Drosophila melanogaster: one gene and its partner. The protein of the gene in region 2 interacts with the protein of the main gene of each other region in a pairwise test. Each region holds a gene or a part of one and is shown on either strand. Other genes may lie near its edges.

Region 1 (5,908 bases), on a different chromosome or scaffold from region 2:
TGAAATCCTAAGATCAGAAATGGAAAAATGGATTCAATGGCAGGTGCACACAAAATTGTTACAAATCAAACAAAGACTGATGTTCAACTCCGTTCAAAAACCATAGAAAGCATTCATCAACAGCGGATTCCAATTTCCCAGAAGTATCCAACACTTTCGTCATTTATATAACAAACAAAAAATGGAATCGAAAAAAATCGTCGCGTTTCGGGTTCTAACGGTTTCGCGTTCGCGTATTTTCGTCGCTCGTTCGTAATCGTAATCGTCGTTCGTGGTATCTCGTCGGGTAAAACAAAAGAAAAAGGAAAAAAGGATATAATACAAGGATAACGATAATATTGCAACTGTTACTGATACAAATTTACTGATACACTTAATGATATTCATATGCTATACAAAATTAGGTGTTTTTTTACGCATTGTGAAAGCGAAAAGCAAGCAAATAGGGAAACATTGTAAAATTGAGATTAGGATTTTGTTGAATATCTTATTTATTTTCCATTAACTGAATACAAAAGCAACCATTGACTGATCACTTTTTAAAGTATTATTATATAATTTTTTTTTGTATAGGGACAAGTGTAATTAATGAACTATTATTATTTTCTTCGAACTTTTATATCATTTGTATAGACTCGTGTTTTGCGTAACCTCTATAATTTACGATCTTTGTACAGAACAAATTTTTTACAATTATATGATTAGGTGTAAAGTGTACTACTAAATGAAAACAAAAGTCTTTGAAATTGTCGCGGAACAACTAAAACATACGAAAAATAAAACTAGGGAAAACCAAACTCAGTCAAATACAAAATAAATGGATGATTATGAAGCGTAAGAAGAGTAAGTAAATCTAAGTAATAGTATTACGTAATTATGCAAACCGTGTTTACGTTTGTGTTTTTATTTCGTTTCGAAAATGGGGGAACGTGTGATAATAAAGTAACTTCGGGTCGTTCGTTCGCGTCGCGTTAAACTCAATCAATTTAAAAACTAACAATAAGGGACTTTCGCCCCCGAGTCCCAAATAATAATCGCAATACTTGATAACTTGATAATAATACGGTCTAACTAAAGCGGAAGCATAGCAATTGCTAAAACTGAAACTAAACTAAAATGAAAAATCGTGATTTCGTTGTACCTTAATCCGGATTCATCGCGGAATCCGGTCGCGTTCGCGTGCGTTTGTATCTCTCTCGGGTGATCTTAGTGATTAGCGTTTAAGCAGAAAAAAAAAATGAAAACAAAAAAACTGAATCAACACTACTACAACTACACATAAACATACAACATTAAACATGTACACACCACACATATACAGCAATATGAAATATATTTATAGATTTTATGCAGAGTAGGTTTTTGTTTAAAATATTATTTTTCATTACGATAGGGCAAACCAAAAAAAAAAGTAGGGAACATCAAATAAACTAAATGTTAGGTCAAGCTAGGGCAAGAAACAAATTAAAACAGCAAATCAAAAGTTATTTGTGCAGCATTAGAGAATTTTTTTCTTATTTCTTTCAATATTATCGTGTGTATGCTATTAAATCGATGAAGAGAACATACCAACTGTTTTTAGTACTTTACACAATTATGATATTTAACTTCCGTTGTTTTTTTTAAGTAAATCAAGACCAAGCCTAGTAAATATTGTTTTACCATCTATATCTTCATAAACAGCACGTAAAACTTTTCGTTCATCGAACATTCAACTCTGATAGGTTTATATCTCTAATCGTTTAAGCTTACAACCACTGTCTAGGCTAAATCAAATGTTCTGCAAATGTCTAACGAAATTGAATATATATACGGGCCTATATGCATAAATAACATACGCATATATATGAAATACATGCATGTATGTATAATCCCTACATCAAACTATATGGATTACAGATTATTCTTCTGGAGTTTATATATTTGTTTGGCTAAAAACTCCATTTCAAAATTCAACTATCAAGATTTGTGTAAATTGAAAAGTATATATATGAATAAATATGTATGTATAACAAACATTACCCATCAAGATAATGGATTTTCTGATTTGTATGGGATATGAGTAGGCCGAGAACAGAGTGTCATTCTCTGTCACTTCGGTAGCCCCCTTTGGCAGACCTTACCCCACATTTATCATACAAAACCCGGCTAACTTTTGCATCAGCAGCAAAATGGCATGGACACCACGGGATGAAGGTCTGCAGCAGCTCCTACCGATACTCAAGGACTCACAGTCTCCCGGTAAAGCCACGCAGCTAGCCGTGCAAGAGGTAAGTACCGAAGACCCAACTGATTTAGCAATCCTCATCGGGTGCTTCCCGGACTTCAACAACTATCTCGTCTATGTGCTCACGAATCTGAAGACGGAAAACGAGGCAACGCGCTCCATGAGCGGCCTAATCCTCAAGAACAACATTCGCATGCACGACATCACTCTGCAGCCGGAACACCTGGAGTATATCAAACACCAGTGCCTGCAGGCAGTGGGCGACTCTTCACCCGAGATCCGTGGCACCGTGGGCATTCTGATTACCACCATTGCCAGCAATATCGGTCTGCACAACTGGCCGCAGCTGCTTCCATCTCTCTGCGAAATGCTCGACAACCAGGACTACAATGTGTGCGAAGGAGCATTCAGTGCTCTGCAGAAAATTTGCGAGGACTCTGCCGGAATTTTGGAAAATATGCCATTAAATACAATGATTCCAAAGTTCCTGGAGTACTTTAAGCACAGCAGTCCAAAGATCCGCTCCCACGCCATTGCCTGCATCAACCAGTTCATCATCAACAGATCACAGGCCCTGATGCTAAACATAGACAGCCTCATTCAGAACCTCTTAGACGTGCCCTCGGATAATGACCCAGCGGTTCGCATGAACGTCTGCCACGCATTGGTTGGTCTGGTGGGGGTGCGCATAGACCTTATGATGCCGCACATGTCGCAGATTATTGAGGTATGAAGTTAAGGTTTAGTTTTAAATTTTAACGTAATGAAAAATCTCTGTAGCTCATTTTGTTGCGCTCCCAGGACGCCGATGAGAACGTGGCTCTGCAGGCCACCGAATTTTGGCTTTCATTGGGAAAGCAGAGAAACTGCAGGGATATACTTTCTCCCATTCTATCCCAGTTAGTCCCAGTTCTTGTAAGCCGAACGCAATACACGGAGACGGACATTATTCTTCTGAAGGGCGATGTAGGTGAAGATGACAAGGAGCCTGATAGACAGCAGGATATCAGTCCACGTTTCCACATGTCCCGCGTACACGGTATAAGTAATGAATTGGATGAAAACTCGGACGACGATATGTGGGATTCGGCATTGAACTTGCGCAAGTGCAGCGCTTGTGCTCTCGACATTATTTCGAAAATTTTCGGCGATGTCTGTCTGCCCCTTATGCTGCCCATCCTAAAGGAGGCGCTATTCCACCAGGAATGGGTGATCAAAGAAAGTGGTGTGATGGCCTTGGGAGCTATTGCGGAGGGCTGCATGCAGGGCTTGATCCCACACTTACCAGAGCTGATTCCCTACCTAATTACCTGTCTGTCTGACAAGAAGCCACTCGTACGCTCCATTACATGCTGGACGTTCATGCGATTCCCCAAATGGGTGCTCAACCAGCCGCACGACAAGTACTTGGAGCCTCTAATCGAGGAACTGCTGAAGTGCATCCTGGACTCCAATAAGCGCGTTCAGGAAGCTGCGTGCTCTGCCTTTGTCGCTCTGGAGGAGGAGGCCTGCACGCAACTGGTGCCCTACCTGGAGAATATGCTAAAGACGTTCGTCTTAGCCTTCTCCAAGTACCACCAAAGGAATCTACTGATAATGTACGATGTCGTTGGTCTTTTAGCGGAGTCCGTCGGTCATCATCTGAATAAACCGCAATATATTGACATCCTAATGCCTCCGCTAATGGATAAGTGGAACCTGGTAAAGGACGACGACAAAGATATAATCTATTTGTTGGAGTGCCTATCGAGCATCGCCACTGCGTTGCAGTCCTCCTTTCTGCCCTACTGCGACTCGGTGTATCGAAAGGGCATCTCCATTATTGAGGAGACTATCAACCAGGACATGGTAAGCAACTGTGTTAGCTTCAATGTAAATCTATCAATGAACTCGACTCCTTTCAAGATGTGTAAACAAAGCCAATCAACCGATTATCCTGACAAGGAGCGCATGGTTATCGCCCTGGATCTGGTGTCTGGCTTGATCGAGGGGCTGCAGAGCCTCATAGAGCCACTGGTGGCCAACAGCAAACTTTTGCAGCTGCTCTGCCAATGCATGGGCGACGTTATGCCCGAAGTAAGTTTTACCTAATTAATATACTCGTGTATATGGGATTAAAATACATATTAGGTTCGCCAATCATCGTTTGCCCTGCTGGGTGATTTGAGCGGGGCTTGTTTTTCCCAGGTATACCCCTACACGGCCCACTTTATTTTGATCTTGGTGCAAAACCTAAACCCCAGCGTTGTTGGTGTGTGCAACAATGCAGTTTGGGCCATAGGGCAAATCTGCGTTAAGTTGGGTAAGTTGGCTTGGTTCTCTTATAATGTAACAAAAAAGATTTTTTGTATTTCGCCCCTAAGGTGAGGAAACCAAGCCGTACGTACGCCTTCTGCTTAGCGAACTAATGATCCTGATGAACCGGCAGGACATTCCAAAAAATCTTTCGAGGAATGCGGGTAAGTAATTTGGCCTGATTTAAAGTAATTTATTATTATTATTCTTTTTTTTAAGCAATAACACTTGGGCGCCTCGGAAATGCATGTCCAGATGAAGTGGCTCCCTATTTGCCCGAATTCCTACGCCAGTGGTATGTACACATTAAATGCTTCATTTGCTCATTTTTTAAATTATCCTTTCTTCCACGAAATGAAGGTGCTTGTTATTGCGTTACGCATATGACCACGACGAGAAGTATTTGTCTTTTATGGGAATGTGCCATATGATCAGGGAGAATCCAGGAGGCGTGGTGCCCGACTTCTTATTCTTTTGCGATGCCATTGCCTCGTGGGACAATCCTCCACAGGATCTGCGTCAGATGATTCGAAGAGTAAGTTATTTCCGGAAATTATTAATTTTCGTCTTTCAACAATACTCGTTTGTTATTCTAGATTATCGAAGGCTTTAAGAACCAAACGGGTGCGGAGAATTGGCTAATTTTTTTGGGGAAATTTCCACAACCACTGGCCTGCCGGCTAATCGAACTGTACGACATCGAATACTAATCCGAAGCTATCCAGCCAATTATGTATTGCTTCAATCATCATTCTAATTTTACTAAGTAACCAAAGCCCCAAAAAAAGTCAGCTATTGAGTAATATACGATTTTATATAATCATTTATAATATGAATAATTCAACAAAACCTGAAATATTTTTGTAAATAAAGTCTCAATAATTGTAAAAATGTATGTTACACCATTTAAAACTTATGACATAAAAAAACAAAAGTTTTAGTTTCATTAAAATGTTTATTTTATTGGTTTATTGGAATTACAAAAATGCAAGATTCTCTTAAGGAGTTTTAAAAAGGATATATAAATGTAAATGGCTTTAATAGAATTGGCACGCAGTTTGGCTTATAGTACTAGGAATATATACGACTGGCATCTTTGCTAAGGATCTATTACTTTGAAGACCTTATGACTTTTTTATGACCCGTCGATTTTGTTCGTTTGAAATTTGATCGTTCGTTGTCCTTTGATTAGCAGTTGTCGGCAAAAGAAGATTCTTCCTGGCAGTTTTTCGTAGTCGTTGTCCAAATAAATCATAGGTCCTTAAGTCGTTCCGAAGTTCTTTATTAGTTGAGGGGACAATAGCCCTGCCAAATATCGCCAACGACCATGTTCGGCGTGATGTTGATCATCCTTTGGTTAACCTCCACCTTGCTGATGCAGCCCTT
Region 2 (3,463 bases):
GCTAGAGAAACATACCAGTGTCTTCGTAATTTATGAAATTAATCGTTAGAATCGATTATCATTAACTTGTAATGCATAATATTTAATTATCGTATATGTATATTTATAATTTTCTTTCGCTTGTGATATTATTTATTATTTTGATTGCCCGAGTTTTAGACGTAATACATTCACCACTGTATATATATCACTTAGACTTTAATTGTAGTCGATATCAGTTTCGTGCGTGGAAACACACTCGTTTATCAAATGGTTGCCAGTAAATCGGCTATGACAGCTCCAAATGAGTGGGAGTGTACCTTAGAAGAATACTTTGCAGTTACCTTTTGCTTTGATTAATTTTCTGTTTGAATTTGAAATGAGTTTGCCTTAAGTTTGGCCTTGAAAAAAATTTGAAAGAATACAAAATGAAACAAAGTCAAAATATTTAATAAAATGATGCATTATTCCAATACTTTATCGGAATTTTCAGTCAATGGGGATCTTGGTGGATTGCGGCATATTTCAAGTTTAGTAAAATAAAACCATCGACTGCTTTTATTATTTGAACTTGCTTTAATCTGTCTTCGAGTTGTAAGTGTGTCATCAGGTAAATGCTTGGTCAGTTGGAATCCTCTGAGCTGTCACTGTAGGCAGCCAAGAGGGAAAGTCCAGCTGGAGCGGCAGCTGGCTGATTTGTAGCTTTAGTTTCCGCTGGTGCAGACACAACTGAGGGCGTGGTTGCGGCTGGTTTGGATTCAACTTGCGTCGTTCCAGTGGCTACCGTGGGCTTTGCTACTGCGGTTGCCTTGGGCTTGACCAGCACCAATGGTGTCTTCCTTTTAACCATTGACTGCGCTGCGGATGCTTTGCTGGAGGATGTGGCGGAAAGACTGATCGTGCTGGGCTTGGCCTGTTTGGCTGGTGGAGGAGCTGACGGTGTGTCCAACGGTTCATCCTTGATCTCCTCAATGATTTCCTCAGCGACAACACGAGAGCTTCCTTCTGGCTTGTTCTTAAAGTTTACGGACCTAAGGAAATGTAATGTGTTAAATACACCGACCAAATAGAATACCTAGTAGAGAACTCACTTAATAAAATCCTCGTCTTCGCGCTCCTCCCGCTCCTGGCGCTCTCTCTCCGTCTCCACCGTGTTGTACTGCTGCAGCAGAGTGTTGTAGTCCACTGTCTGCTGACGCCGGTTGAGATCACGCAACTCCTCCAGGCTCTCGATCGTTTCGATCTCGTTGCGCGACTGTTGGGTGCGATTCTCGAGCAGCTTCATCGGATTGTTGGCCTCCTCATCGCGCAATTCCTGCTCCTCGCGACGTGCCTGTTCCTCGGCCAACTTGAGTGCCATGAAATTCCTGGTGGCCCCCGCCTCAATCTCGTAGTCCGTGTTCTGTGGATCTGTCTTGAAGGAGATCTCCTGCAGGCAGCGCGTGCACTTGATGTAGAACCGATAGATCCTGATGCCCAGGTACGTTTCGTTCTCCACGTCCTCCTTGCGAGCGTTGAATTTCTTGCCCTTGTATATGTATTCCCCACACGTTTTGCAGCGCATATTAAATGGAGCCATCAATCTCACGGTGTACTGCCGGTTTTTGGCCAGTTTCATGCGCGGAATCTTCGATGGATCGAAGTCCGGGGGATAGTATTTCTGCAGAGGAGTCGGTCAGGTGGCGATCTATTAGCTTAAGATGTATTTACTTACGTTTAAGACCTTTCGCTCGGACATTTTGAAGACTACGATTTATTTCTTACTAAAATAAATACAATTTATTTATCTGCCTAACAGTGCTGTAAAATGTGTGCAGTAAACAGTGCTCAAAGGCGTAATCCGCCGTTGTGAAAATATAGTTGTCTCGCTCCTACCTTTTTTTGTAATTGCATTTACCGCCAAATTTGAATTTAATAAAAACTCTTATAAACTGTTATACACGATACCTCTTTTTGTAAATTCTTTGCTCATTGCCCAATTTAATAAATAAGTTCAATAACTTATAGTTTTCTGCTATACATGCGCTTCTTTATAAATAACATTTATGTACAAAAACAGTTTTTCAAATGCAATTACCAAATTTATATCCACACTTTCCACTTAATATACAATTTAGATACATATTTCTTTGGCTATTATTGCTGCTGCGTTGTCAACACATCGTTAATACAAAAGTTACAAGAACACAGCTCATCTCACATATTGCTGCTGCTAGTTGGGTTATCGTTTTCGCCCGGTGGACTATTCCTCCGCAGTCCGGAGAACCTAGAAGGCAGCTGCACGATGGGCCTACCGTCATCCAAATCGGTGATCGGTGCGGATGACACATACTCACTGCCCACATCCACGTCCGGAAAGCTCACCTTTTTGGGAGAGGGAATGGCGGGCACGGTCACGGACTTGGGACGCCCATCCATTTTCAACGCAGCTCTGGGTATCTTATGCTTGACCAGCTCATAGGTGCAGGCGTAGAGGAATGTGTACTGCTGCTGCGTTTGCACCATTTTCATGCGCTGAAGTAGTGGAGAAGTAATGAGATAAATCCACAATGGCACTGAAAAAAAAACCCACCTGGAATCGCAGCTTTTTGACCGTTTCGAAAATGTTGATTTTCGACTCGCTCTTCAATCGCTGCATGATCAGATCCAGGCCAATAAACGTGCCCGTCCTGCCCACTCCCGCACTGCAATGGACGACAATGGGCGAGTAACTGGGTCGCTTCTCCGCCTTCACCTTCTTCACAAACATAATCAAATGCATGGGATCCTCGGGCACGCCGTGATCGGGCCACTTTTTGAAATAGTAGTGGATCACCTTCTCCTTCAGTCCGTACTTGTCGTGCACAACAGTCAACTCAGTTCGATCGTACAGCTCCAGAACCTCCTTGGACTTGATAGTCACAGTCAATCCACGCACATTATACGGATAGTACTCGTGACACTTGATCTGTTGACAAGACAAAGAAGGCTTAGCTTCCATCTCAAGGACCTAATCATGTACCTACCGTATTGCCCTCGCGAAACTGGGTAACTTGAACAATAACCCGCACGTTGTACTGCAGGATCATGCGCCAAAAGTCCATCACACTCTCTGGTTTTGGTCCCTGGGTGGCTATGTACTCCTTCTTACGCGTGTGACCCTGTGAAGTGGATGCACTTAAGATGATCTTCCTTAAGGATTAGCTATAACAACTACTTACATCTATGAAGGAGGCATTGATGTAGTCCGATCCCTCCGCATCGATGTCCAGAATCACGCGATTCTTGTCATCTATTAAATGGGAAAAAATGTGGTTTCCCATAATGGTTATTGCTACATTGAAGTTACTCACAAGGAAATATGTCCGCATAGCGATTCTTGTGGCAACCCAATTCGGAGGCGGAATAGCTGAGCTCCAAGGCCACAACGGTGATCTCCTTGAACTCCCTGGCCAGTTTCTCCGGCTTGGCAACTTCGGTATAAAAGATGGCAAAGTTCTTGGCA

Evidence for each region.
Region 1: the proteins of CG8435 (region 2) and CG8219 interact in a two-hybrid assay, tested with the Drosophila melanogaster proteins (one large-scale study listed by BioGRID).

What each region holds. Positions count from the first base shown.
Region 1 is NT_037436.4:6,198,369-6,204,276, forward strand, and holds CG8219 (uncharacterized protein), read left to right. Parts: upstream 1-2,104; 5' UTR 2,105-2,171; coding exon 2,172-2,270; intron 2,271-2,363; coding exon 2,364-2,954; intron 2,955-3,007; coding exon 3,008-4,075; intron 4,076-4,132; coding exon 4,133-4,303; intron 4,304-4,357; coding exon 4,358-4,529; intron 4,530-4,590; coding exon 4,591-4,686; intron 4,687-4,741; coding exon 4,742-4,817; intron 4,818-4,882; coding exon 4,883-5,057; intron 5,058-5,118; coding exon 5,119-5,232; 3' UTR 5,233-5,408; downstream 5,409-5,908. Other genes in the region: LanA (laminin A), read right to left, coding at 5,807-5,908.
Region 2 is NT_033778.4:16,169,067-16,172,529, forward strand, and holds CG8435 (uncharacterized protein), read right to left. Parts: upstream 1,796-3,463; 5' UTR 1,718-1,795; coding exon 1,694-1,717; intron 1,640-1,693; coding exon 1,071-1,639; intron 1,011-1,070; coding exon 602-1,010; 3' UTR 534-601; downstream 1-533. Other genes in the region: Ptp52F (protein tyrosine phosphatase 52F), read right to left, coding at 2,176-2,493, 2,552-2,926, 2,985-3,119, 3,180-3,250, 3,312-3,463.